3 linked regions of the Canis lupus familiaris genome follow. The main gene of each other region encodes a partner of the protein of the gene in region 3 in a complex. Links are inferred from orthologs where the notes say so. Each region holds a gene or a part of one and is shown on either strand. Other genes may lie near its edges. The genes, in order: COA1, SMIM20 and SURF1.

Evidence for each region.
Region 1: SURF1 (region 3) and COA1 share a complex: the UniProt entries of both Homo sapiens proteins name them as parts of the MITRAC (mitochondrial translation regulation assembly intermediate of cytochrome c oxidase complex) complex. The link is inferred for Canis lupus familiaris from reciprocal best matches to the Homo sapiens genes SURF1 and COA1.
Region 2: SURF1 (region 3) and SMIM20 share a complex: the UniProt entries of both Homo sapiens proteins name them as parts of the MITRAC (mitochondrial translation regulation assembly intermediate of cytochrome c oxidase complex) complex. The link is inferred for Canis lupus familiaris from reciprocal best matches to the Homo sapiens genes SURF1 and SMIM20.

Annotation. Positions count from the first base shown.
Region 1 is NC_049239.1:6,613,036-6,621,030, reverse strand, and holds the start of COA1 (cytochrome c oxidase assembly factor 1 homolog), read right to left. Parts: upstream 4,686-7,995; 5' UTR 4,667-4,685; exon of another isoform or gene 4,431-4,666; intron 4,251-4,430; exon of another isoform or gene 4,166-4,250; intron 2,288-4,165; coding exon of another isoform or gene 2,276-2,287; exon of another isoform or gene 2,261-2,275; intron 1-2,260. UniProt on the Homo sapiens protein: Component of the MITRAC (mitochondrial translation regulation assembly intermediate of cytochrome c oxidase complex) complex, that regulates cytochrome c oxidase assembly.
Region 2 is NC_049224.1:85,084,946-85,092,805, reverse strand, and holds the start of SMIM20 (small integral membrane protein 20), read left to right. Parts: upstream 1-2,614; 5' UTR 2,615-2,691; coding exon 2,692-2,800; intron 2,801-7,860.
Region 3 is NC_049230.1:49,840,657-49,848,537, forward strand, and holds SURF1 (surfeit locus protein 1), read right to left. Parts: upstream 5,309-7,881; 5' UTR 5,263-5,308; intron 4,962-5,262; exon of another isoform or gene 4,828-4,961; intron 4,457-4,827; 5' UTR 4,323-4,456; intron 4,243-4,322; 5' UTR 4,189-4,242; coding exon 4,160-4,188; intron 3,657-4,159; coding exon 3,465-3,656; intron 2,763-3,464; coding exon 2,690-2,762; intron 2,608-2,689; coding exon 2,445-2,607; intron 2,204-2,444; coding exon 2,122-2,203; intron 2,046-2,121; coding exon 1,976-2,045; 3' UTR 1,854-1,975; downstream 1-1,853. Other genes in the region: RPL7A (60S ribosomal protein L7a), read left to right, coding at 126-266, 468-547, 838-968, 1,270-1,339, 1,458-1,562; SURF2 (surfeit locus protein 2), read left to right, coding at 5,567-5,644, 5,726-5,937, 6,351-6,454. UniProt on the Homo sapiens protein: Component of the MITRAC (mitochondrial translation regulation assembly intermediate of cytochrome c oxidase complex) complex, that regulates cytochrome c oxidase assembly.

The sequences.
Region 1 (7,995 bases), on a different chromosome or scaffold from region 3:
TCAACTATTAAAATGCTGTGGGCAGCCCTGGTGGCTCAGCGGTTTAGCGCCGCCTTCAGTCCAGGGCGTGATCCTGGAGTCACGGGATTGAGTCCTGTGTCAGGCTCCCTACATGGAGCCTGCTTCTCCCTCTGCCTGTGTCTCTGCCTCTCTCTCTCTCTCTCTGGTCTCTCATGAATAAATAAATACAATCTTTAAAAAAATAAAAATAAAAAATAAAAATAAAAATAAAATGCTGCTCACAGGTTCTTGACAGCATGTTTTCCTGGGCCTGGTCTTTTCTACACATAACAGTTATGGTTCAACTCACTCTCTGCATCACCCCTTCAGACCTATAACCTGGTCTCCAAGAAGAGTAAAAATTAACCTCATGTGATTTTTATTTAAAAGAATTATATCACAATCTACAAGACTTGTCACATGTCTGATACAGGACCTGGAATATACAAAGAACTCTTACAGGAGTAGCTAGCTGGTTCAGTCAGTGGAGCATGCAACTCTTGATCTCGGGGTTGTGAGTCTGAACCCCACGTTGGTTGCAGTAATTGCTTAAAAAGTAATCTAGGGCTACCCTCCCAGGTGGCTCCGCGGTTTAGCACTGGCCTTCAGCCAAGGGCGTGATCCTGAAGACCTGGGATCGAGTCCCAAGTCAGGCTCCCTGCATGGAGCCTGCTTCTCCCTCTGCTTGTGTCTCTGCCTCTCTCTGTCTCTCATGAATAAATAAATAAAATCTTTAAAAGACAAAAAAAACAGGTAATGACAAGTGCTGGCGACAACATGAAAGGATTAGAACCTTCATATACCGCCAATCAGAATATAACAGAATAGACACTTTGGAAAAGTCTGGCAGTTCCTCAAAATGTGAAACATAGAGTTACCATATGACTGAGCAATTCTAATCTTAGGTATATACCCAAGAGAAATGAAAACATGATGATGTTTACACAAAAACCTGGACATGAACGTTCCTAGCAGCGGTATTCATAATGGCCAATACTCAAAGGTCTACCAACGGACCAATGGATAAAGGGTAGTATATCCATACAATGAGATACTATTTAGCAGTAAAATGGAATGAAGCGCTGATACAAGTTACAACATGCCTGCATAGGCATATATATAGACAGCAGATTAGTACCTGCATAGGGGTAGGAGCTCGGGGGAGTAGGGGAAAAAATCAGAAGATTCCTCATGGGTCAAGGCTTCTTTCTGGGGTGATGAAAATACTTTAAAATTGATTACAGACTGCACAACTTTGTAAATATACTAAAACTCAATGTATATTTTAAACAGGTAAATGCTACAGGTATGTGAACTATTATCTCAATTAAGCTGTTACTTCTTAAAAGGATTTTCTTTCTAGCGTATCCCTAGCTCTTAGGACAGTCCCTGGCAATTATAGGAATTCAATAAACTGACAAAATGGAAAAATAAACTTCAAAAGGCAGGTAAACCATTGCAAAACTTTGTCACACCCAAAGTAATGAAATTGCTACATACTGTAGCTGGAGCATATGGTGTGTGTGTTGGCGTATTTTCCATCAAAGGAGACTGAAAAACTCAGCATCAGCAAGGAGACCTTGAAAGGTCTGGAAGCCGGGCTAAGGAATCCGCATTGCCCTGAATCAACAGGAAGGCCGGTAAGATTGTGAGCATGGGAATAACACGATCAGATGGATTTTCTATGTGCAGAGTTTAAGCAGAGGTTTGTTAACTTTTTTTTTTTTTTTTTAGATTTTATTTATTCACAAGAATACACAGAGAGGAGAGGCAGAGACACAGGCAGAGGGAGAAGCAGGCTCCATGCAGGGAGCCCGACCTAGCACTGGATCCTGGGACCCCGGGATCACGTCCTGGGCCAAAGGCAGATGCTCAACCACTGAGCCACCTGGGCTGCCCGGTTTGTTACTTCTATGCAAATATGAAATAGAGGGGGAAAAAAGTGCCTTAGAAATAAAGCACAAGTAAGAATGAGGAACATTCAAGGAACAAGTATCAAAGTGTAAGAATCTACGGATTTTTAATATTATACACGACACACCGACTGACGCTCACACATGCTCATATGTCCTTGTCTCCAACAATCTAGTCATTTCTACTGTCAGAACCCTGCATGGAATTCAAGAGTGATGGGGACTAAAGTCACCATGACCAACTGTCAGAAAATTCTTCTCTATGATCATCGAGGCAGGGTCTTCCTCACAGGGTTGTAACTCAGGACCATCAACAAAGTGCCCGATTCCACCGCTCAGAGGGGACGCCCCACTCTTCACAAATGTGCTCTCAGGTACGCAGGGCCGGGCAGGGTAGGGCAAGGTAGGGTAGGGCCGGGTAGGGTAGGACAGGGTAGGGTAGGGCAGGGCCATCCAAGCCGGGCAGGGTAGAGTAGGGTAGAGTAGGGCAGGGCCAGGTAGGGCCAGGTAGGGCAGGGGAGGGGAGGGCCAGGCAGGGTAGGGCAAGGTAGGGCAGGGCCGACTGGGCCTGGCAGGGTAGAGTAGGGCAGGGTAGGGTAGGGCAGCGCAGTGTAGGGCAGGGCCACGCAGAGTAGGGTAGGGTAGGGTAGGACCGGGTAGGGTAGAGCAGCGCAGTGTAGGGCAGGGCCACGCAGGGTAGAGTAGGGTAGGGTAGGACCGGGTAGGGTAGGGCAGCACAGTGTAGGGCAGGACCACGCAGAGTAGGGTAGGACCGGGTAGGGTAGAGCAGCGCAGTGTAGGGCAGGGCCACGCAGGGTAGATAGAGTAGGGTAGGGTAGGACCGGGTAGGGTAGGGCAGCGCAGTGTAGGGCAGGGCCACGCAGAGTAGGGTAGGGTAGGGTAGGGTAGGACCGGGTAGGGTAGGGCGGCGCAGTGTAGGGCAGGGCCACGCAGGGTAGGGTAGGGTAGGGTAGGGTAGGACCGGGTAGGGTAGGGCGGCGCAGTGTAGGGCAGGGCCACGCAGGGTAGGGTAGGGTAGGGTAGGGTAGGACCGGGTAGGGTAGGGCAGCGCAGTGTAGGGCAGGGCCACGCAGAGTAGGGTAGGGTAGGGTAGGGTAGGACCGGGTAGGGTAGGGCGGCGCAGTGTAGGGCAGGGCCACGCAGGGTAGGGTAGGGTAGGGTAGGGTAGGACCGGGTAGGGTAGGGCGGCGCAGTGTAGGGCAGGGCCACGCAGAGTAGGGTAGGGTAGGGTAGGGTAGGACCGGGTAGGGTAGGGCGGCGCAGTGTAGGGCAGGGCCACGCAGGGTAGGGTAGGGTAGGGTAGGGTAGGACCGGGTAGGGTAGGGCAGCGCAGTGTAGGGCAGGGCCACGCAGAGTAGGGTAGGGTAGGGTAGGGTAGGACCGGGTAGGGTAGGGCGGCGCAGTGTAGGGCAGGGCCACGCAGGGTAGGGTAGGGTAGGGTAGGGTAGGACCGGGTAGGGTAGGGCGGCGCAGTGTAGGGCAGGGCCACGCAGAGTAGGGTAGGGTAGGGTAGGGTAGGACCGGGTAGGGTAGGGCAGCGCAGTGTAGGGCAGGGCCACGCAGAGTAGGGTAGGGTACGGTAGGGTAGGACCGGGTAGGGTAGGGCAGCGCAGTGTAGGGCAGGGCCACGCAGGGTAGGGTAGGGTAGGGTAGGGTAGGACCGGGTAGGGTAGGGCAGCGCAGTGTAGGGCAGGGCCACGCAGAGTAGGGTAGGGTACGGTAGGGTAGGACCGGGTAGGGTAGGGCGGCGCAGTGTAGGGCAGGGCCAGCCGGGCAGGGTAGAGTAGGGTAGAGTAGGGTAGGGCCAGGCAGGGTAGGGCAGGGTAGGGCAGCGCAGGGTAGGGTAGGACAGGGCTAGGTAGGGCAGGGTAGGGCAGGGCAGGGTAGGGCAGCTTAGGGCGGGGCAGGGCCACCTGCTGGCGGCCCCGAACCCCCGAACCCCGGGGCAGGCGGGCGAGGGGGGCACCCTGCAGCCCCTGGCAGCCTCCTGCAGCACCCGGCAGCCCCCTGCAGCCTCCTAGGGCGCTGCGCCCACAGGGGCCCCGACACCACGCAGGCAGCAGGCGGGTTGCCCCCGCGACCAAGCCCCGGGAGGAGACCCCCGCCGGCAGCCCCGTCGCGCACACACACACACACACACACACACACACACACGCAACCGTGCAGGCTGCGGCGACAAACGTCTCCGAGGGTGAAAGGAACGCGAGGCTCGGAGCCGCGGGGGCGCTGACCTTTCCGGGCCGCAACCGCGCGCCGCAGGAAGCGCGCGCCTGCCTTCCTTCCGGGGGCGGAAGTGCGGGTACGCGCGCCCCCAGGCCGGCCCGCCCCGCGAGGAGCAGCGGAGACTTCCGGCGCGGCGTCCCCGCGGGCTAGAGCGTCCGGACGCGCCGGGGCGGGGGCGGGGGCGGGGGCGGGGGCGGGGCACGCCGGGCCAGGTCGGAGTCGCGGGCCGAGGCCGCCGCGGACGCTCGGCCCCGCCCGGGGAGCGAGGTGGGCCCCGCAGAGCCCGCCCTTCTGTCCCGCCCCGCGCCGCGCCGCTGCGGCAGCCCCCGCGGAGCCCACTCGCCGCCTTCGCCTGACACACGGCAGCACGACAGTCTTATCCATCCAATCGCTGCGAAATGCCTACGGCGCTCCAGGGAATGCGAGGGCAAGAAGAAGAAGAAGAAAAAAAAAGAAAAACGTAGACGACTTGAGTTAAGTAGCGCGAGGAACGGTAACAGCATTTTTACCCGGTGCGTTTGTTCCAAGGATGTAAAGCGCTCAGGTGGCGTCTGGGCCTCCGCGGTCGTACGCCGCAGCCGTGCCCACCGCCCTGTTGGTCGTCCTGCCGTCACCGCGTAGGAGGATGGCGGCCTGGGAAGCCCTCGGCTGAGGAAGAATTCTTGAGAGGACTTCCGTGCAAAAGAGGTGGGTTTGGGTTTTTTTTTTTTTTTTTAAGATTTTACTTATTTATTCATAGACACAGAGAGAGAGAGAGACCCAGGCCGAGGGAGAAGCAGGCTCCACGCAGGAGCCCGACGCGGGACTCGATCCCGTGACCCCGGGGTCACGACCTGGGCCGAAGGCGGGTGCTTAACCGCTGAGCCCCCCGGGGATCCCCAAGAGGTGGTTTTCATTAAACGTCTACTGACAGGACCTGTGGACAGAAAGCTGCATGGGGTCGTGAGGGGTAGTAATTATACACCTTCAACTTGGGGTGGGGGGCGATAGTCTCTAAGTCTGTAAGTTTCAAAGGAATTCTGGAAACAAGGTTGCCAGGACCTTGAAGGCGTTAGTTATTGTTGGGAAAAGGTCATATATTATTGTCTAATAAACCCTTAGGGCGCCCGGGTGGCTCTGCGGTTTAGCGCCACCTTCCGCCCAGGTCGTGACCCCGGGGTCGTGGGATCGAGTCCCGCATCAGGCTCCCTGCGTAGAGCCTGCTTCTCCCTCTGCCTGTGTCTCTGCGTGTTGTGTGTGTGTGTCTCTCATGAATAAACAAATAAAATCTTAAAAAAAAAAGATAAAAAAAGAAAACATTGATCATAAGACACCCCACCCCCCCCACCCCCCCGCCAGATACGTATCCATAGGTCCTGTGCTTGGAAGATGGTTGCTAACATGTATCTTGACTCCAGAATAAAAATAAAGGAAGTTTCCAAAGGAATTTTTATATGTTAAAGAAGACCTGCAGGGTCCTGGCGGGTCAGGCCAAGGTTGCCCTTTTGCCCTTAGCAAAGCCAACATGGGGGCCGCTGAGCCCGTAGAAGAATGTCACTCCGCCCGTTTCAAGGACTCGTCAATGGGCTGCAAGTAGGGAGGGAATTAATTTTCCTTCTGCCTTTGTTTCCCACATGATTATCGCCACTATTACCATCATTATTGACTTTTTTTTCTTTTCACGTAAGTTTGAAGTCCAGGTACCTTTCCTCCAAAAAAGTAGGGTCTCGGCATTGGTGGGTCCCCTAAATTTGATGTGTTACATGACCGGACTAGTCAAGTGTAATCTCATGTCGTTTAAACCTGGAGCTCACCCTCTTTCTGAAGTTCTTATGGGGATATCTAATACGTTTCCTTATTTTCTGATAGAGGTGAAGATAAAATGAGTTTAGGTAGCGCTAGTAATGTTGTAAGTGCCCAAAATTATTAGCTATTGTTGTTGAGACAGGGATTCTACTTCTTAGAGCCACAAGTATCCTTATCTGGATTCTCTCTCTCTCTCTCTCTCTCTCTCTCTCTCTCTTTCTGTCTTTCCTATATATAAGGAAAGGATCTGTTTTGCTACCTGTTAACTTCTAAGGATCCAGGGCAGGGGTAGGAGGTGGAGAGATGAGAGACGGTTGACTAGAGTGCTGTCAGTTGTGGGGTGATATTAAGTGGTCAAATGGTTGCTTTAAGAAATGCACTTAACAGCAACAGGATGGAACCACCGTGTCTAGTGTCTCTCTCAGCAGCAGCCTAGAACTATGAAACTAGAGTTTCTACGTATGGTAGTTCATATACACGAAAGTATCATTTTCTGCTTATTAATATTCTAACTAAGTGATTTTATTGTTTGGAGTTGGGTCTTTTAGATTTTCTATCATTACAATCATGTCATTGAGATGATGACAAAATCCTTTCCAAATTTTATACCACTAATTTGTCATATCTAACTGTATTGGCTAGTTATTTCCAATAAAAATATTTAATAATAGTGAACATAGTATAGGCTTCTTTGTCTTATTCTACCTTTAACGGGACATCTCTAGAACTTTCCCATTAAGTATGCTACTGGCTTGGGAGACTAAGGTAAATCTTTTATCTTTTATCATATTAAGGAAGTGCCCAGCTACTAAGAGAATAGGAAAAATTTTGACACAAAGCATTGAGCATGCCCCTACATCTTGTCATAAAAGTAGGTATAAACTAGATAATATTTGCCTCAGAGACACTAATGAAATTCACATTAGCTAGGTTGGAATCAGTGTTCTTTCTTAATCTTAAATACTATCATCATGAAATTGAATACTGACTAGGTTGTTTATAAGAAATCTCCCTGTGGAAAGGAGAGAAAATGTGTGGGTAATAGGGAGACAGAACATGAGAGACTCCTAACTCTGGAAAACGAATAAGGGGTGGTGGAAAGGGAGGTGGGGGTGACGGGCACTGAGGGGGGCACTTGATGGGATGAGCACTGGGTGTTATGCTGTATGTTGGCAAATTGAACTCCAATAAAAAAAAAAAAAGATTTGAAAATAAATAAATAAATAAATAAATAAATAAATAAATAAATAAATAAATAAATAAATAAATAAATAAATAAACAAACAAACAAACAAACAAACCCCCCTGTGATATCCTGATTTTTAACCCTGGAAAAGTTCTTTTTTATCTTTTATAGAATATCACCTTTAATCCAAAGTCTATGCTTGTTCTATACATTGTGGGGAATTGCATGGATCTTCTATAGTTTGGTTATCAAAGTTGTGTCTGTCCAAATATGCTGGTTGTGGAAAATAGGAACATTTTATGATGATAGAGAGATTAGGTCATCAAGAGATATAACAATCTTAAACTTGTATGCAGCATAGCGGAGGTTTGATATATGTGAAACCAAAAGTGAAAAGAGAATTAGAAAAACAAAAAATTACAATGGGTGATTTTAACCTTCATGTCTCAGAAATTAATAGAACTAGACAAAACTGTAAGTGTATGGAAGACTGAAAAACATTATCAGCCAACTTGACCTATTGACATTTATAGAACACTTTGTAAAAAGCAAAATATCTTGTTTAAGTGCATAGAATATTCACTTTTATGGGGTTCATAAAACAAATCTCAAATTTAAATATAGACTAAAATCACTCAATATGTTGTCTGACTATAATGCAATTATATGTGACATAATTAACTTATATTTATAATATATTTAATATATAATTTAATTGGAAATTAATAATAGTAAGGTTTCTGAGAAAGCTCCAAATATTTTGAAATTAACATATTTTAAAATAGCCTATGAGTCAAAGAAGAAATCACAAGGAAGCGGATAAATATCTTGAACTGAATAAAAATAAAAACATATCCAAAAGTGTAG
Region 2 (7,860 bases), on a different chromosome or scaffold from region 3:
TTTTGGTGTGACGATGCTAGCAAGGTGATGAGTGTGTCTGTATAGGTTGTGGCCTGGCCGCTGGTCAGACTAAAACGTTTACATGAACATCAGGGGACAGAGAAGCCCTGCGGTTACTTGCTGCTTGGAGAGGGGGTGGCTCATCTGTCCCACATTAATCCATCTGTGCCTTGGAGGCACTGCGGACAGGAGGTCATCCTGGCGGTCTCTAGCCTGGCTTTCAGAGGCTCCTGTGTGTAGGGCTCATGCAGCCACCCTGCCAAGCTTGCTTATGGAGACGGCCAGGTCTCAGGGAGGAGCCTGTCAGATTAGGAATGAAGACTAAACCCTGGTCCTGGCTCAGCTAATGGTGTGTGGCCCTAAGAGAAGTTTCTGGATCTCAGTGACCTGAGCTATAGAGTAATCCTTGACTTGCAGCCCGTGGATCTGTCAAGGAAACGAAATCCCACTCGCGGTGACTTCATCTGGAACTCCTGTTGTAAACAAAAACAAACAAACAACAAAACAAAACAAAATAAGTCAAACTGGCTTCAGCGAAAAGGGAACTTCATTGGCTCCTATCACTGAGAAGTCCAAGGGCAGCTCCTTTTCCAGGCACAGCCCGCTCCAGGGGCTCAAAGGTAATGTCAGCACCTGATTTCTCTCCATCTCTCGGCTTTGCTTCTGCTGTACTGTCCTCACGCTCAGTCTCCATATGGTGGTGCCCAGTGACCCCAGCGTCTGATCCCCTCAAGCTCAAATCCAGATTTCCAGCAGCTGGGAGACACTATGGTTGGCTCAACGTGGGTGAGGTCATGCAGCCAGGAGGATGCGGCTTCGCTGGACGACCAGGCCTGGGCCCTGTCCCAATCAATCCCTGTGGTGTGGCAGCTTGGTCACTCTTGGCGATCCCCTGACCTCTCAGAGCTGGAAAAAAAAAAAAAAATCATTGGGGTGGGGGTGGGGCAGAGGAGAAGCCCAGTTTACCTCCTCGACTGAATGGGAGAGGAGTGGTTTGCCAAGATGCTCGGGTGCTATTAACAGGAAGACAAGTGGCCTCCCGGTTGCTAACATGACAAAGGCGCGCTCACCTGGGGTTTTATATCACGGGACACAAAGCATATGCATCCCAGCTCCCCTCTCTGCTGGAGGAGTCCTCTGTTCTCACCCTAACAAGCCCCCGCAAGCCCCGAGGAGCTGCTGCCAACCCCTGTAGTCATCTGTCTTCCTCCTGGAAGTCCCGCGGCCGCAGGACCCTATCACTCATCCGCAACAAGCTGCGCCGCCTCCTCAGTCATCTTTTTCTGTATCTGTCCTGTCTCTATCCACGTGGCAGGATCCCGGGGAGCAAAGGGTCACGGCTTATTCATCTTTGCGTCCCTCGGAGCACTTTGCCTGGTGTTTGGGGTACGGCAGAGGGTCCATAAATCTGCCGACGGATCCAACACCTGATTTATCTGCTCGCGGAACCTCGGAGGCAGACGGTAGCTTGGCTCCGCGACAACGCTCCACGGAGAGGACACCTGTGCTGAAAGACCGTACGTCTCTGCAGACTAAATAATACCGCCGGGGTCCGGATGACTAGCCTCTTGCTCCCGGCCCGGGCCGCTGGTAGCATCCTTATTCATAAAGGGTTGAGTGAAGGCCCAAGAAACCTTGATCTCCGCCGCTCCGTACCCCTGGGCACCTCGCCTGCCCCCACAGCGCCGCCTACCCCCAGGAAGGACGGAGGACGGCGACCCTAGGAAGGGGAGGAGCACGTCCAACCTCAGCGGCCCCACCCCAGGCAGTAAGGCACAGCCCCAAGGTCCCATCACTGGGACTGGCCGCGGGCTCCCCGCCTTGCCCGGATCCGACTCCTTCCCCATCCTCATTCGCAACCCAGACGTGCAGCAGAGGGAACGGAGCGGGCAGGCGGAGGCAGGACGGATCTACTTGCCGTCCCGACGTTGACACGAGACTCCTCCCCCCTAGTCCTGATCCCGTAGTCCCGGTGCTCGGGTTAGACGCCCCCTGCAGGCCATCCGGGGCGGGCGCGCGGCCCCGGGCCCCTCACCCCCTCCAGCAGCCCTCCAGGAGGCGCGGTCACTCGTGAAGCCGCGCTTCCCTCACCTGTAAAATGGGCCCACAGCCGGGGGGACTGAATCAGCGAGCCGCGGACAGCACGCAGCTCGGGGCGGAAAGTCACCGAAATCAGATAAGGGTGGGGAGAAGGGGAAAGCGCGGCTGGTCGAGGGGAAAGGGTGACCCAAGAGGTCCGGAGAATGGCGGGGGGAGCAGCGGAGGGGGGGCCGGGCCGCGGGCAGGGCGGGGGTTGGAACAGGGTGTGCACCGCCCAGGGGAGCAAGAGTCCCTCTCGGCCGGCCCAGCCCCCAGCACCGCGGCCGCCGCTCCGAGGCCCCGCCCACCCACAGGCCCCGCCCCGTCCACGCTGTAGGCCCCGCCTCCGGCCCCGCCCACCCGCAGGTCCCACCCCAGGCTCCGCCCACCCCGACGGGCCCGTCCCTCCCACTCTGCAGGCCCCGCCCCCGACCCGCCCACCACGCAGGCCCCGCCCCGAGCCGGCCCACCCGCAGGCCCCGCCCCCGTGCCCTGGCCCCGCCCCCAAGGCCCGGAAGCGAAAGCCGCTCCGCCTCTTCCGAGCGGGGTCACGGCCCGGCGCGCGGGGTCTCGCGGGGTCTCGCGGGGTGCGGGCAGCCCGGGCCCAGCGCCATGTCCCCGAACCTGCGCACGGCGCTCATCTTCGGCGGCTTCATCTCCCTGCTGGGCGCCGCCTTCTACCCCATCTACTTCCGGCCCCTGCTGCTGCCGGAGGAGTACCGTGAGTGCCCTGTGACCCCGCGGGGGCCCGGCCTCGGGGCGCCCGGCTCGGGGCGGTGAGGAGCTGGGCGCGGGGGGCAGGCGGGCCGGGCCGAGCCCTGCGCCGAGCGGCCGCGAGACCCCGCGCCTCCCCCCGGGCGCCCTCCTGACTTGCCCGGTCGTCGCTAACGTGAGACCCGTTTGGCCTCCGTGGAGACTCCCAGGTGGCCTCGTCGTGGTCCGCAGCGCTTACCTGTCCGCGCTCTCGGGGAGCAGGGGCCGGACGCTCACGTGCCAGCCAAACGAGCGTTGGCACTTTTTTTTTTAAAGATGTATTTATTTATTCACGAAAGACACACACACTGAGTGGGGGGGGGCGGGGAGCAGAGCCGCAGGCCCTGCCGCGGGGTCACCCCCCCCCCCACAGCCCGAGGCAGGAGCCCCAAGCGTTGCCACTTCTGACGCCCACGGCGTCGCTTTGAGGTCGTCGTCATGCCCATTTGACAGGCGGGAACACTGAGGCTCCGAGAGGTCGTGCGACAGGCCCAAGGTCGCACAGCCAGTGAGCTGCGAGGCAGGTCTTCCCTCCCCGGAAGGCGGGGCTGGTGATACTGGAGGGAGGCAGATGGAGCCCTGATCATCCTGAGCCTGAAGGTGTCTTTACGGCCCTTCGTTGCCACTCCCAGGGACAGCTTTGAGTGGAAATGTTTCAGACCTACACTGTTAAACCTGGGTGTTTTGAGTTTTTCCCCACATCTTTTTTTCAGCTCCTGCTGTCTTCCTTCATTTTAAAAGCGGGTTGCTCACATGACAATGCCCAATACCCCGGGAGTAATTTTCCTCCTTAATCATTCAAGTTCTATCATCCTAAAAGCCAAACTCTCCTTCCTGGAGACCTATACCTCAGCGAGGATTAGCACTTTGATACATCTGAAACCATCTGTCAGAGAGAAAATATTAGGCATTAGAGGCTCATTTTGTTCTCCAGGAAACCTGAATCATCTTGAAGATGGAAGAGGGCCAGCCCTGCCCCTGGAGACCATTAGCAGAGGCTGAGAGCTTGGCGATGTGAAGGCAGCAGCTCTGTGTAAATGCTCTGCCCGTTACAAATGCTACATTTGGTTTCTGGAGGCAGAGCATTTTAAGCACACACCCGCATTGCCCTGGAGCTTCTTTCATCACCCAGGACCGAGGTGGCCTCTGCATGCTGCCTCCCAGCCTGCGTCCACCTACCCGTGTGCCTGAGGATAAACGGGGGGGCGCTTGAAGCCCCGCGTGGTCTGGTTCCGTCATCCTGACCCGATCCTGCCCCAGGCTGTTTTCTTACTAGGGCATCTAGGATTGAACTTGGGACAAGGGGCTCTGCTCCAGATCCCACTGGAAAGGTGTCTGCCAGGAAGACAAACGCAGTGCCTCTCAGCTGGGGATGCTTTTGTCCCCCAGGGGACATTTGGTTCCATCTGGAGACATTTTTGCTTGTCACAGCTGGGGGTGGAGTGGGGTAGTGTGAGTGTGCTACTGGCATCCAGTGGAGAGAGGCCAGGGATGCTGCTAAACCTCCGCAGCGCACAGGGGAGCCCCCCATGACCTAGATTACCCAGCCCAGGTGTGCATGGTACCAAGCTTGAGACATGCTAGATCAGATGATGAAGGCGTGGACTTGTGCCACGCGTCCTGGCAAGTCTTTTTTTTTTTTTTAACTTTTTTTTCAAATATTTATTTATTCATGAGAGACACAGAGAGAACGGCAGAGACACAGGCAGAGGGAGAAGCAGGCTCCATGCAGGCAGGGACCCTGATGCAGGACTCGATCCCGGGACCCCAGGATCATGCCCTGGGCCGAAGGCAGGTGCTAAACCGCTGAGCCACCCAGGGATCCCTCTGACAATAGTCTCATAGGGATACCCTAGAATCTGTGGTTGTCTGAGTTGCTTGAGACAAAATCAGGGCTTTTAGGTGCATGTTTACTGAGTGTGCCTAAAATGTCTGCATTTTAACTCGAGAGCAGTCAGTCTATGCCTGCCCACCTTTCTGGCTCAGTTTTAGTTAATTGGCCGACTCTTATTTGAGACTCATAGCTGATTCTTTCAACAGGTAAATACTAAACAGCTAGTGTTTTTTGAGAGTTTATGTCTGCCTCTCTTCCCAGCACCTCATATATATATTAACCCACATAGTTTTCATAACCATTTGTTGTAGCTGCTGTGTGATCATCACCCACATTTTATACGTGGACACACTGAGGTCTGGGACAGTTAAGTGACTTGTACAAGGACCCACAGCAGATGGGTCAGACCTGGGATTGGAACCAATGTGCTCTTTCACTACACGAGGGCACCATTTGGTTTCTGAGGCGGTGAGAAGGGAAGCAGGGCAGGTGAGGGTCTAAATCCCTTGCAAGATAAGGGTCTTAAGGTGAGTTACGTAACCTGCCTGAGCCCAGTCTGTTTCTTCATCTGTAGCAGTGGACTTTGCAGGCCTTAATCTATAGGTGTTGGGTGTATTAAATGAGATCACAGGTATGGAAACATCTAGTATAGTTTTATATTAGGCATCCCCTAAAAATGTTTAAAAAAATAAGGAACCAGGGCACCTGGGTGGCTTAGTGGGTTGAGGATCTACCTTTGGCTTGGGCTGGGGTCCTGGGGTCCTGGGATTGAGCCCCACATGGGGCTCCAAGCTTCTCCCTCTCTCTGCCTGCCGCTCCCCCTGCTTGTGTGTTTGTATGCGTGAACACACACTCTCTCTCTCTGTCAAATAAATAAAATCTTAAAAAAAAAAAAAAAAGAGGAGCTATAAGGCAAGGATGTAAGGAGATTTAAGCCCGGCTGGCTGACCTGTCACTAACCTGGGGTCCAGGCAGGTGAGGCATTGGTGACCGGGCCATGGAAGCCTGGCCTGTCTGTAGGGAGGATGGAGCTGCAATTCATTTCAGCACCTTGGACTAGTCTTTGCATTTTTTATAACCTGGATTTTAGCAACGGCTGTGTACCTGGTACTGCGTTAGGTGTCGGGTATACGTGACTGTACAAGATGGTCAGAGCGCTTCTGTCCGTCTCACTGTCCCCACCGTCATCCAACCCATTTCCTTCACCCGCTCCTTAGACTCTGAGCTGGTCTCCCTGCTTCTGCCAAGCCCAAATCCTGATTCCCTACCCAGCAGTCACAGTTGCTAATTTTCTCTGGTTGCTCTTTTGTTGCCAATTTCTACTTTACTTGCATTTGTGGTTAAAGAATGAGGACTATATGATTTTGATTCCTTGATATTGGTCAGGATTTGCTCTGTGGGCTTAATACAGGTCAATTATGGAAGTGTTCCTTCTGTGCTTGAAGTGGGTATATCTCATTGTTGGGTACAGAGTTCTGTGTGCACCGATTCCAGACCAAGCTTCTTAATTCTGTTACTTAGGTATCCTCAGGCCATATTATTAGGTGCACACGATAGAGAATGTTCTGGAGACTTTTTTCCAATTATCATTGTATAAAGGGTCCTCTTTATCCCTCCTGTTCCTCTCCAGGTCTATCATATCAATATTAGAATTACCAGCATTGTTTTGGTTAGACTTTCCTGGTATATTTCTTATATTTGTGCCTGTCTGTCTGTCTGTCTTTCTTTCTTTCTTTCTTTCTTTCTTTCTTTCTTTCTTTCTTTCTTTCTCTTTCTTTCTTTCTTTCTTTCTTTCTTTCTTTCTTTCTTTCTTCATTCATTCATTCATTTATCTATTTATCTATTTATTTAAAGATTTTTTTATTTGAAAGACAGCAGGGGGAGGGGCAGAGGGAGAGGGAGACAAGCAGACTCCCCCCACCCCCACCAGAGTGGGGAGTCCAATGTAGGGCTCGATCTCAACCCGCAGATCATGACCTGAGTCGAAATCAAGAGTCAGATGCTTAACTGCCTGAGTCACCCAGGCAGCGCTTGGCATCTGTCCTTAAATCTCATAACCAGCCTAACTTGGATTTTTTAATCCAATCTGGTCATTTCTTTCAACTGCTGGATTGAGCTAATTTTCATATATGTTTACTGATAGATTTATTTGCCCTGTCTTGTTCTGTGTTTTCTATTTATCCTTCTATATCTACAACTCCTTCTTTTCTCTCCATTTCTGCCTTCACGGTTTCTCTACTTTTTACCTCCTCTGTTTTTTTTTTTTTTTTAAGTTTTACATTCTTTTTTGATTATTTTGTGATTACTGCTTAAAGTTAGTCAGTATCCTTATCCTCCTATACAAAGACCTGAGGAGAATGCCTTGGTCCTTGGACCGCACAGCACTCCCGGTGTTTATTCCTCTCCAGTCAGTACCATCAGGGTTTTATAGTCACTGATTGTTCCTCTTTGCCCCTATTCTTTACTCAGCAAACCCTACTTCTCACTGCTTCCCAGTGTCCGTTTTCTTCATTCTGAGATGCATCTGATATTTCTTTCTTGAGCGTCTGTAACTGGTGGAGTTCATCCTCGTTTGTCAGAATATGTCCAGAACTCCCAATTCTCCGTGTCTGTTGAAACGTCTGCTGTCATGCCATTTGTTCTTTGAATTTGATCATCCTGCTGGCTTGATTAAAATACTCCCACAGCCCTCTGCTGTCCCCAGCGTCTAGCCAGTGGAGGCTCATGGAAGTATTTTAATCGGGAGAGTGAGGCGACCGGATTCAGTCTCACCCAGGGTCAAGGCTGGGAACAAGAATTCCAGATAGAAGGAGGCTGTACTTGCTGTGGTCACAGGAGAGTACGGAGAGGTGACTAGCCTGAACCAGTGGTGGTCATGGGACTGGAGGAGGGGAGCTATATTTAAGAAGTAACGCTACAGGGTGAGGGAGGAGACAAGGGAGAGTGACAGCCTCCAGGTTCCAGCAGCGGAGGAGATGGTGGCGCGCTGGTCATTAACTAAGCAACACAAGAAGGAACTGGTTTTGGGAGTGAGGAGGATGAACCAGTTCAACTTTGGACACATGTGTTTTAGGTATCTGGATATGCTCCTGGAGATTTCTGATGGGCTATGGAATATTCCAGTCTGGAGCTGAGGCACTGGGCCTGAGCTAGAGCTAGAGATGGGGTGCTGGATCAGCATGGGACGGGAGGCA
Region 3 (7,881 bases):
CCCGAGGGTAGGGGGTGGTGCCGCTGAAGGGATCACTACACAGTGTGAGGGGACAGTGGCCTAGCGTGAGGTCAGGTGGCACAGACCAGAGCCTAAAACACAAGCCTAAACCGTGACTTTTCCAGCTACACAACTGCTTAAGCTGGCCCACAAGTACAGACCAGAGACCAAGCAAGAGAAGAAGCAGAGGCTGTTGGCCCGGGCCGAGAAGAAAGCTGCCGGCAAAGGGGATGTCCCCACTAAGAGGCCGCCTGTCCTTCGAGCTGGTGAGTGGGCCCCTTCTCCAGGGGTGAGTGGTGGGGCCGGCTGTTGACAATGATGCAGGAATTTCTTCACCTGGAATCTCTGTGAAGAGTAAAATCGAGCTTTTTAACCCTGAGTCACAGCCGGGCCCAGAGTAGTAGGATGGCTTTTGTGAACCTAGCAGCCCCCACGGACTGCTCAGGCTAATGGGTTCTGTGTCCTAGGGGTTAACACTGTCACCACCTTGGTGGAAAACAAGAAGGCTCAGCTGGTAGTGATAGCTCACGACGTGGATCCCATTGAGGTACGTCGAAGTATCCACTATCGAGCCTAGATTGGGTCTTTATGTTGGTATCGGGAAGGCTAAAGCTGAATGTTGTCCGGCACGTTGGGCCAAGGTGGGGTGACCGCTTTCTATTGAGGACGGTACTGACGAGGGATCCGCGTGATAGCCATTACGATGATGTGGATTTCTTACTGAATTAAACCTTGAAGTGCAAATCCAGGAGTTTAATCCTCAGCAGTTGTTACAGAGTTAGGTTTTAAGTTACCGTTTCGGTCAAAATACACTCTAGAGCTAACTCTGTCTTCCAGCTGGTTGTCTTCCTGCCTGCCCTGTGTCGTAAGATGGGGGTTCCTTACTGCATTATCAAGGGGAAGGCCAGGCTGGGGCGTCTGGTCCACAGGAAGACCTGCACCACTGTCGCCTTCACACAGGTTAACTCGTAAGTATGCAAGATGGCTCCAAACTCCCAACAGCCAGTGGAGGTCAGGGACCCCCCCATACACCCAGTTCCCTTAATTTCTTTAGGATTTTACCTTAAAGATCAAACGTCATACTTTTCTAAAGGAGCGTGTCTGTCTAAATCTTTGCCAATGATGGTTACGAATTTCTTCACCTGAACCAGCCATGTGGTCATACTGTATCTGAGGCAAAGGGCTTGTTGGGTCAGCAAGTCCTCCCTGGTTTTTGGAAGGTAACTGAGAAGAGAAGCTAATGACCCAGATTTTCCCCTGCCTTTTTAGGGAAGACAAGGGAGCTCTGGCTAAGCTGGTAGAAGCCATCCGGACCAATTACAATGACAGATACGATGAGGTAAGTCATTGGTGAGAGGACTGGCTGACTCTGCCCTCCTAAGCACTCCAGTAGAAGACCGCATGAGCTAGCATAGTGGGAGCCTCGACGGCAGATGCTGACCCCTGTGTCTTTGCAGATCCGCCGCCACTGGGGAGGCAATGTCCTGGGTCCGAAGTCAGTGGCTCGCATCGCCAAGCTGGAAAAAGCAAAGGCTAAAGAACTGGCCACCAAGCTGGGCTAAGTGGACGCTGTTGAATTTTCTGTACATAAAAGTAATAAAAGGTTCTCTTTCAGTGAGAGTGTCAGTGGGTATTTGGGGTTGAATATACTTGATCTTGTTACTTAAGTTAGAGTTGTTAAAATCCAGGATTTGGATTTGGTGCAGGGCGGGAGTTGGGGGAAGAAGACGTGCTATGTGGGGGGGTGCAAGGTGATGGTTCTGAACAAGCAGCTCACCCACACATTGGTACATGGTACTTGAACCCACTGATTATGATCAGATCGTTGCATAGGTAGAAAAGGCAGGCACGGCATGTGTACTGTATGGATTTATTCATACCACTCATACCTAACCCACGTAATCTTTAAAAAGAAAGCTTAGAAAATCTGTGACTTAGTGATTATTCAGGAGAGGAGCGGAGCTACTTCAGTAGATCATACACCAGGAGTCCGACGTAGGAATTTCTTAAACCATAGGTAGGATGTAGCTGCACAGAGGCCATACCTTGGTTGGGTTGAAGAGATGAGCAGTCAGGGTTTAGAAGGGGAAGAGGAGGGAACAGCCAGAGGCAGGGACTTACCAGGTGAGGATGTACTGCATGTGTTCATTCCTCAGAGTGACTCGCGTTTGCCCTCCAATGGGTCCCCCGGGGACTGTGCTCTCTGCAGAGACGGTGGGTTTAGTGTCCACAATCCCTAGGGCAGTTTGGCCAGCTGTCTCCATGGGGCCTTCCAGAGCTCTTTAGAGCTGTCAAATTCAGTGAGGCCTTGGACCTGTAACTAGACCCTGTGGCCTCCTTTCCTTAGTGCCCACCAGACACTCCTCCCACACGCTAAAATGCAGACAGCAGGAAGTAACGGCCATGTCCAGGGCTGAAAGAAAGGCAGGCCGCCCACAACGTACGGAAGTCTGCATCGATGAAGATGGGGTCTGCGCCTGTGAGCCTGGCCATTGCCTCCAGGTCCCGGTAATGCCAGTGGTTCCTTTCTGGGTTGTTCTCTGGGACAAAGGGCTTCCTGGTTTCTGTCAGCCTCACCATCCCAACTAGGTCCACTTCTCCCTCAACCTACAAAGGAAACCAAGACTGTTCTTCAGGGCTGGCGGTTTCTAGACAGCCCTGCTTACAAGGGAAGGTTCAGGCTCCTCACCTGGCCTCTCTGCCGTGTATCAGGATTCACTTTCTTCCTGGGGACAAACCCTCTGTTGACCAGGATGGTGACTCTGGAATAAATAGAAGTATGCTCTCAGGGCGGGAAAGGATCTTTGAATAAAGATTATCACTGGTCATCCCTATGAGAACAAGGATGGTGTCTGAGATGGTTTAAGACGAGGCTAGCCTGCAGGTACGCCACTGGGAAGGTCTTCCTTTCTCATGCAGGTGTGCCCACCCCCCATCTCCACTTCCCTGTGCCTCAGCCACTGCAACACCCAGGTTTCGGATAGCAGCTTCTCTGAAGAGCAGCTGCCTTCTGGACCTGCCTGTGGGGTCGCAGAGACCCTCCCACACCCGAAGCCAGGAAATTGCTCTGGCTGAGCTCACAGTGCCCCCTTGCTGGACAGGTTGTTTCCCTGGACTGCCCTTCCCCTCCTGACTCCATTTGTGGCCCAAGTGGTCACCTGGGAACCCTTCCCTGATTCCACCCAAGTGAGGGTTTGGTTCCTTTCCTTTCCCTTCCCTCAGTCCTCACACAAGCCCCCACCTCGTACTGCACTATGATCATTTAGTGTGTTGGCCACTACACAGTCTCCAAGGTGGCTGATTTCATTTGCTTCAGAGTTTCACACAGATGAATGACTCAGGAAGAGCTGAAATGAATGGGCTTAGCGAAGTCAAGTACTAATTCCAAACTCTTAAGGAAACTGAAACCTTCTGGGTCTCTTAGATTTCCCCAAGGTTGCTTCATCCCTGCATGTCCCACTCACCCCAGGTCAGTGCAGTGAAAGGGGGTAATGACATAGGCACCACTCTCGGGCGAGGAAGAGAGACGGCCGGCCTCCCGGGCCTCCCTGGCTGGGTCCACCATGGTCCGAGGCATCATGTACAGCTCCTTGGAGTGGTCGAAGTGCCCCCTGACCTTCACCGGCCTGTACTCCAGATTTTTCAGTTCCATTGGGCTACATGGGAGTGGGGAGAAGTGAGGCTGAGACCAAGCAAGTTTTGGCAGGACATTCAAATCCTTCCAGGCCTGCACACTATTACAAATACAGCACACACGTCTGCTCCCCTGAATGGGAAGCTCTGTGGACTGTTGCTCCAAGACAGTGCATTGAAACGAGGGGTAGACGCTGTAGAATCATTTCCAGCACTCTTTCAAGATAACGCTCTGATGTTAAGACATGACATGAGGGTACACTCTGCCCTCCTTCACCTATCAGGTAAGAGTCACTGCTATAGGGGGCCCATCAGCACTGTGGGGGATGCCTCAGGTACAATGCATCTCAAAAAAAAAAAAAAAGGTAAAATCCAGGATCAAAGATATTTTTCTAAGTTTGTCAGGACGCCCAGTAAGGTAACTTGATTTAGGGGCTCCCATGTGAGGGTCAGGACTACAAGCAGAAGCCAGGCCCCCACTGCTGACCAAGTGAGACCAGTTACAGGTGGGCAGCTGCACACTCACTCTGCTGGCAGAGGGATGGGCTCAGCCATAACTCGAGACTCCAGCTCTGCTATCAGCTGCAGCTTCCACTTTCGACGCTGGACCTGTGGGAACAGTACAAACCCGAGCAGATGGCAGCAACGGCAAAAGCTCAGAGCCTCCAGAGCTAGAAGTCAGGCTTTACCTGCCATGTCCCCAGGCCAAAGGCTGTCACAGGAATGAGAAGCAGGAACCACTGGAGGAAGGAGTCCTCTTGTGCTTCTGTGGCAGGTGCTTCAGCTGCAGAACTGCCACACCTGCTTGGCCTCCAGGCCAACCCTGGGAAGTTCAACACCACAGGCCCAGGGTCAGAAGCCCTTGACAAATAGAATGGGAGCAGCCAATCCCTCAAGGAGACGCCACCACTACTGCCAGACAGTAAACAGGCCACAGCCTGTGGCCAGCAGCCAACCAGTGACACCTGCGTCCAGCCCAGCTTCTAAACTGGGGCCACACGCTGCACACTCGGTGATGTTTACTGACTGAATAAACACGGCCTAGGGCTTAGTCCTGCTGTGCCACCAGCTGTGACCCCGGGTAACTCCTGTAACCACCTGCGCCTTTTACACAACAATTCCCTGCGCACTATGTGCACATGTATTACATTGTGCACGACATTGTGCACAACAATACATTGCACTAAGACGCACCCGCGCAGAGGCAGAACCGTGAAAACCCGGGATCGCGGCTCACGGCTCACGGCGCTCGAACACCTTCCTTTCCACTGCTCGTAAACTTAAAGCTGGAACAACGTACTCAGAAAGTATATTTTAGTTGTCGGAGCGTGAGTCTCAAGTCAGCAACACGGGCTTTGTGGACAGTTTAAAAAAAAAAAAAGGCTGCAGCGCGCTGACGAGCACCCTTCCCCCTCGCGCGGCGCCCCGCTCCCGGCTGTCGGTGCACGCGCAGCCCGCAGGCCGCGGGTCCCAGGCTCCCGGCCTTCAAACCCCATCAGGCGCTGGAAGGGGGCAGCTCCGAGCTCCCCTCAAGGCCGCGGCCCCCGGGCAGAGCGGGGGACGGGGGCGGGGACGGGGGCGGGGGCGGCTCTTCCCGGGCGCCCGGGGCACCCGCGAGCCAGTCCTCACCTGGGCGCAGGGGGACCGCAAGGACGCTCCTCCTGACCGCGCGGGGCGGGCCCTGCGGAGACCGGGACACAGGCTGAGCTCCCCAAGCCGGGACGCTGGCCCCCAGCCCGCCCGACGCGCCCGCGCCGCTCACCCGCCCCTCCGCCGCCGCCGCCGCCGCCCGCAGCCCCAGCCACCGCACGGCCGCCGCCATCGCCCGCCGGCACTTCCGGGCCGCGAGGCATCTGCTTCCGGGGCACCGCCGAGCCCCGCCCCCGGCGCACGGTCCACGCGGTGCGAGCGGCGCCCGCCTGCGGGTCTGACCATGGGCGAGCCTCCGGCCGCCGTGCGCGCCTTCCTGCGCCAGCACCCGAGTCTGCGGCTGGAGCCCGGCGCGCACAAGGTCCGCGGGCCGGGGGAGAGGCGCGGCGCCGCGCGGCCGCCCGGGCCCCCCTGACCGCCTCGCCCGCCCTCCTGCCCGCAGGTCAAGTGCGTCCTCACCGGCCACGAGCTGCCCTGCCGTCTGCCGGAGCTCGAGGTCTACACCCGCGGCAAGAAATACCGGCGGCTGGTCCGCGCCAACCCGGCCTTCGACTACGCGGAGTTCGAGCCGCACATCGTGCCCAGCACCAAGAACCCGTACGTGCGCGGGGCCGCTGCGGGCGGGCTCCGAGGGGACGTGCCCACCGTGGTGAGGTACCGACGGCAGCCGACAGCCGGGGGAGGCCGGGCCCCTCCCCGCGGCCTGTTTGCTTCTCGTGGGGCCGAGGTCTGTCCCTTCGGGTTCGGAATGGGGCCAGTTTCACATACCTAGGGAGGACTTGGGTGGAGCCGCCGCTGTTTGCGGGCAGGGGCTGACAGGAAGAGGGCGCTGGGGGCTGCTGCTTCGCGCTCGGCCGGGCCGCCGCGTCTTCCCGCATCCCTGGAGCGGGGGCGGGCCGCTGAGGCTGGCCAGGCCTGGGTTCCAGGCCAACCGCGGGAGGTCACAGCCCGGCCGGACCAGTGCTCGTCCGCCTCGGCTGCAGAGGGGACCGCCTGCTGCCCAGGCCCCATCCTAGGCCTCTGCTGTCAGGCTGGCTGAGATCCTCATGACTGTCCCTGTCCCCCAGGCACCAGCTGTTCTGCAAACTCACCCTGCGGCACATCAACAAGTCCCCAGAGCATGTGCTGAGGCACACCCAGGGCCAGCGGTACCAGAGAGCCCTGTGTGAATGTAAGTAGCCGTGGGTGGACACGGCCTGCTCTCTCCTCCAGGACAAGCGCCCTTGGAAGGCAGCAGCGGCGTCTCAGTCACCCACTGGCAGCCGCTGGTGGTGCCCTGGGCCCAGCCCTGGGGAGGCATGGGGCTGGAGGTGGGGATGAAGCAGGCGGCTGGTGACTGCTACGTGCTGTGAAGGACGGGTGCCGAGGGCTGTCTGTGGAGAGTAGAGGCAGGGATTCAGCCAAGGTCAGAAGAACGCTTGGCTGCCGCAGCTCCTGAAGGACGGCCTCCATGCCACCATGCAAGGGGAGGTCAGTCAGCAAGGGAGGTGGAGACGACCACAGGGGGTCTTGGAGGCCATGGCCTGGACCACGGGAGGTGGAGATGCATTGAAAGGACAGAAGCAGGGCTGTGGCACCACCACTGTGGGTAGGGAAGATGCGGACAGGCAGAACTGTCTGTGGCTAGAATCAGTAGGTGAGGGAATGAGGTCAGAAATCACCTGGATTCCTCAATTCCTGGCTCAAGACCGGCGGTTTGGAAAGTGGCCTCTGGATAAGAGACCCCCTGAGGAAATGAAATGTTCCTTTCAACCTGTGTCGGGGGACGGTGGCTATTGAAGTCGGGCCAGCGCTCAGAGGGTGCACATCACCGACACGGAGCGAAGGAAGAAGGGATGGGGCTGGGCCTGACCACGAAGGAGCCCAGAAGGGTGAGAAGAGCCAGGTGGAGGGGTCAGGGGCAGAAGTTTTAGGAGTGCTGGGACGACCAGGGGCTTTGGGGACAGACACAGAGACAGGATAAGGAAGAGAACTCTGAAGGCGGGGTTTCTCCCAGGAAGAAACGAGGCACAGTCTTCACCTCAGGACAGTAGTGAGGGATGCTGTGGACAGCTGAGAAGCAGGCATCCTACGCGGGTGCAGAGACTGAGGGCTGCTTGGTGTGGGCGGGAAGGAGGTCCTGGGTTTCCCCACAGGCTAGACTCATCCTATGTTGGGGTAGGTGGTTCATAGGTCCAGCGGCTGGGAGTGCAGAGAGGAGACCCGGGTGCAGAGCCCAGTGGCCACAAGGCCCTGTGGGGCAGAGGTGAGGCAGAGGATATGTCCTTGGAGGAGGGCAGAAGCAGACATCAGACCAGGGGGCCCAGTCCCCTCCCTCCTCTCTGAGGGGCCTGCATGGACAGGAGCCATGCCCACACAGGGCAGGGTTCAGAAGCCAGGCTCGTCGGTGCCACCCTGCTCCTCATCTCGGCTCAATCTGGATCTGCCACGCTGAGCTCCTGGCCTCACTGAGTCCTCTACATGGGACCTTGTGGCTCCGGCGTGAGGGCCCAGCAGCCCTCCCTGGGGCTCCTGAGGCCAGGGAAGGGCTGGGGGGTTCAGTGCTCAAGGCCCCACCCCTGCATGGCCCTACACTGGAGGACAGGGGCAGGCACAGAA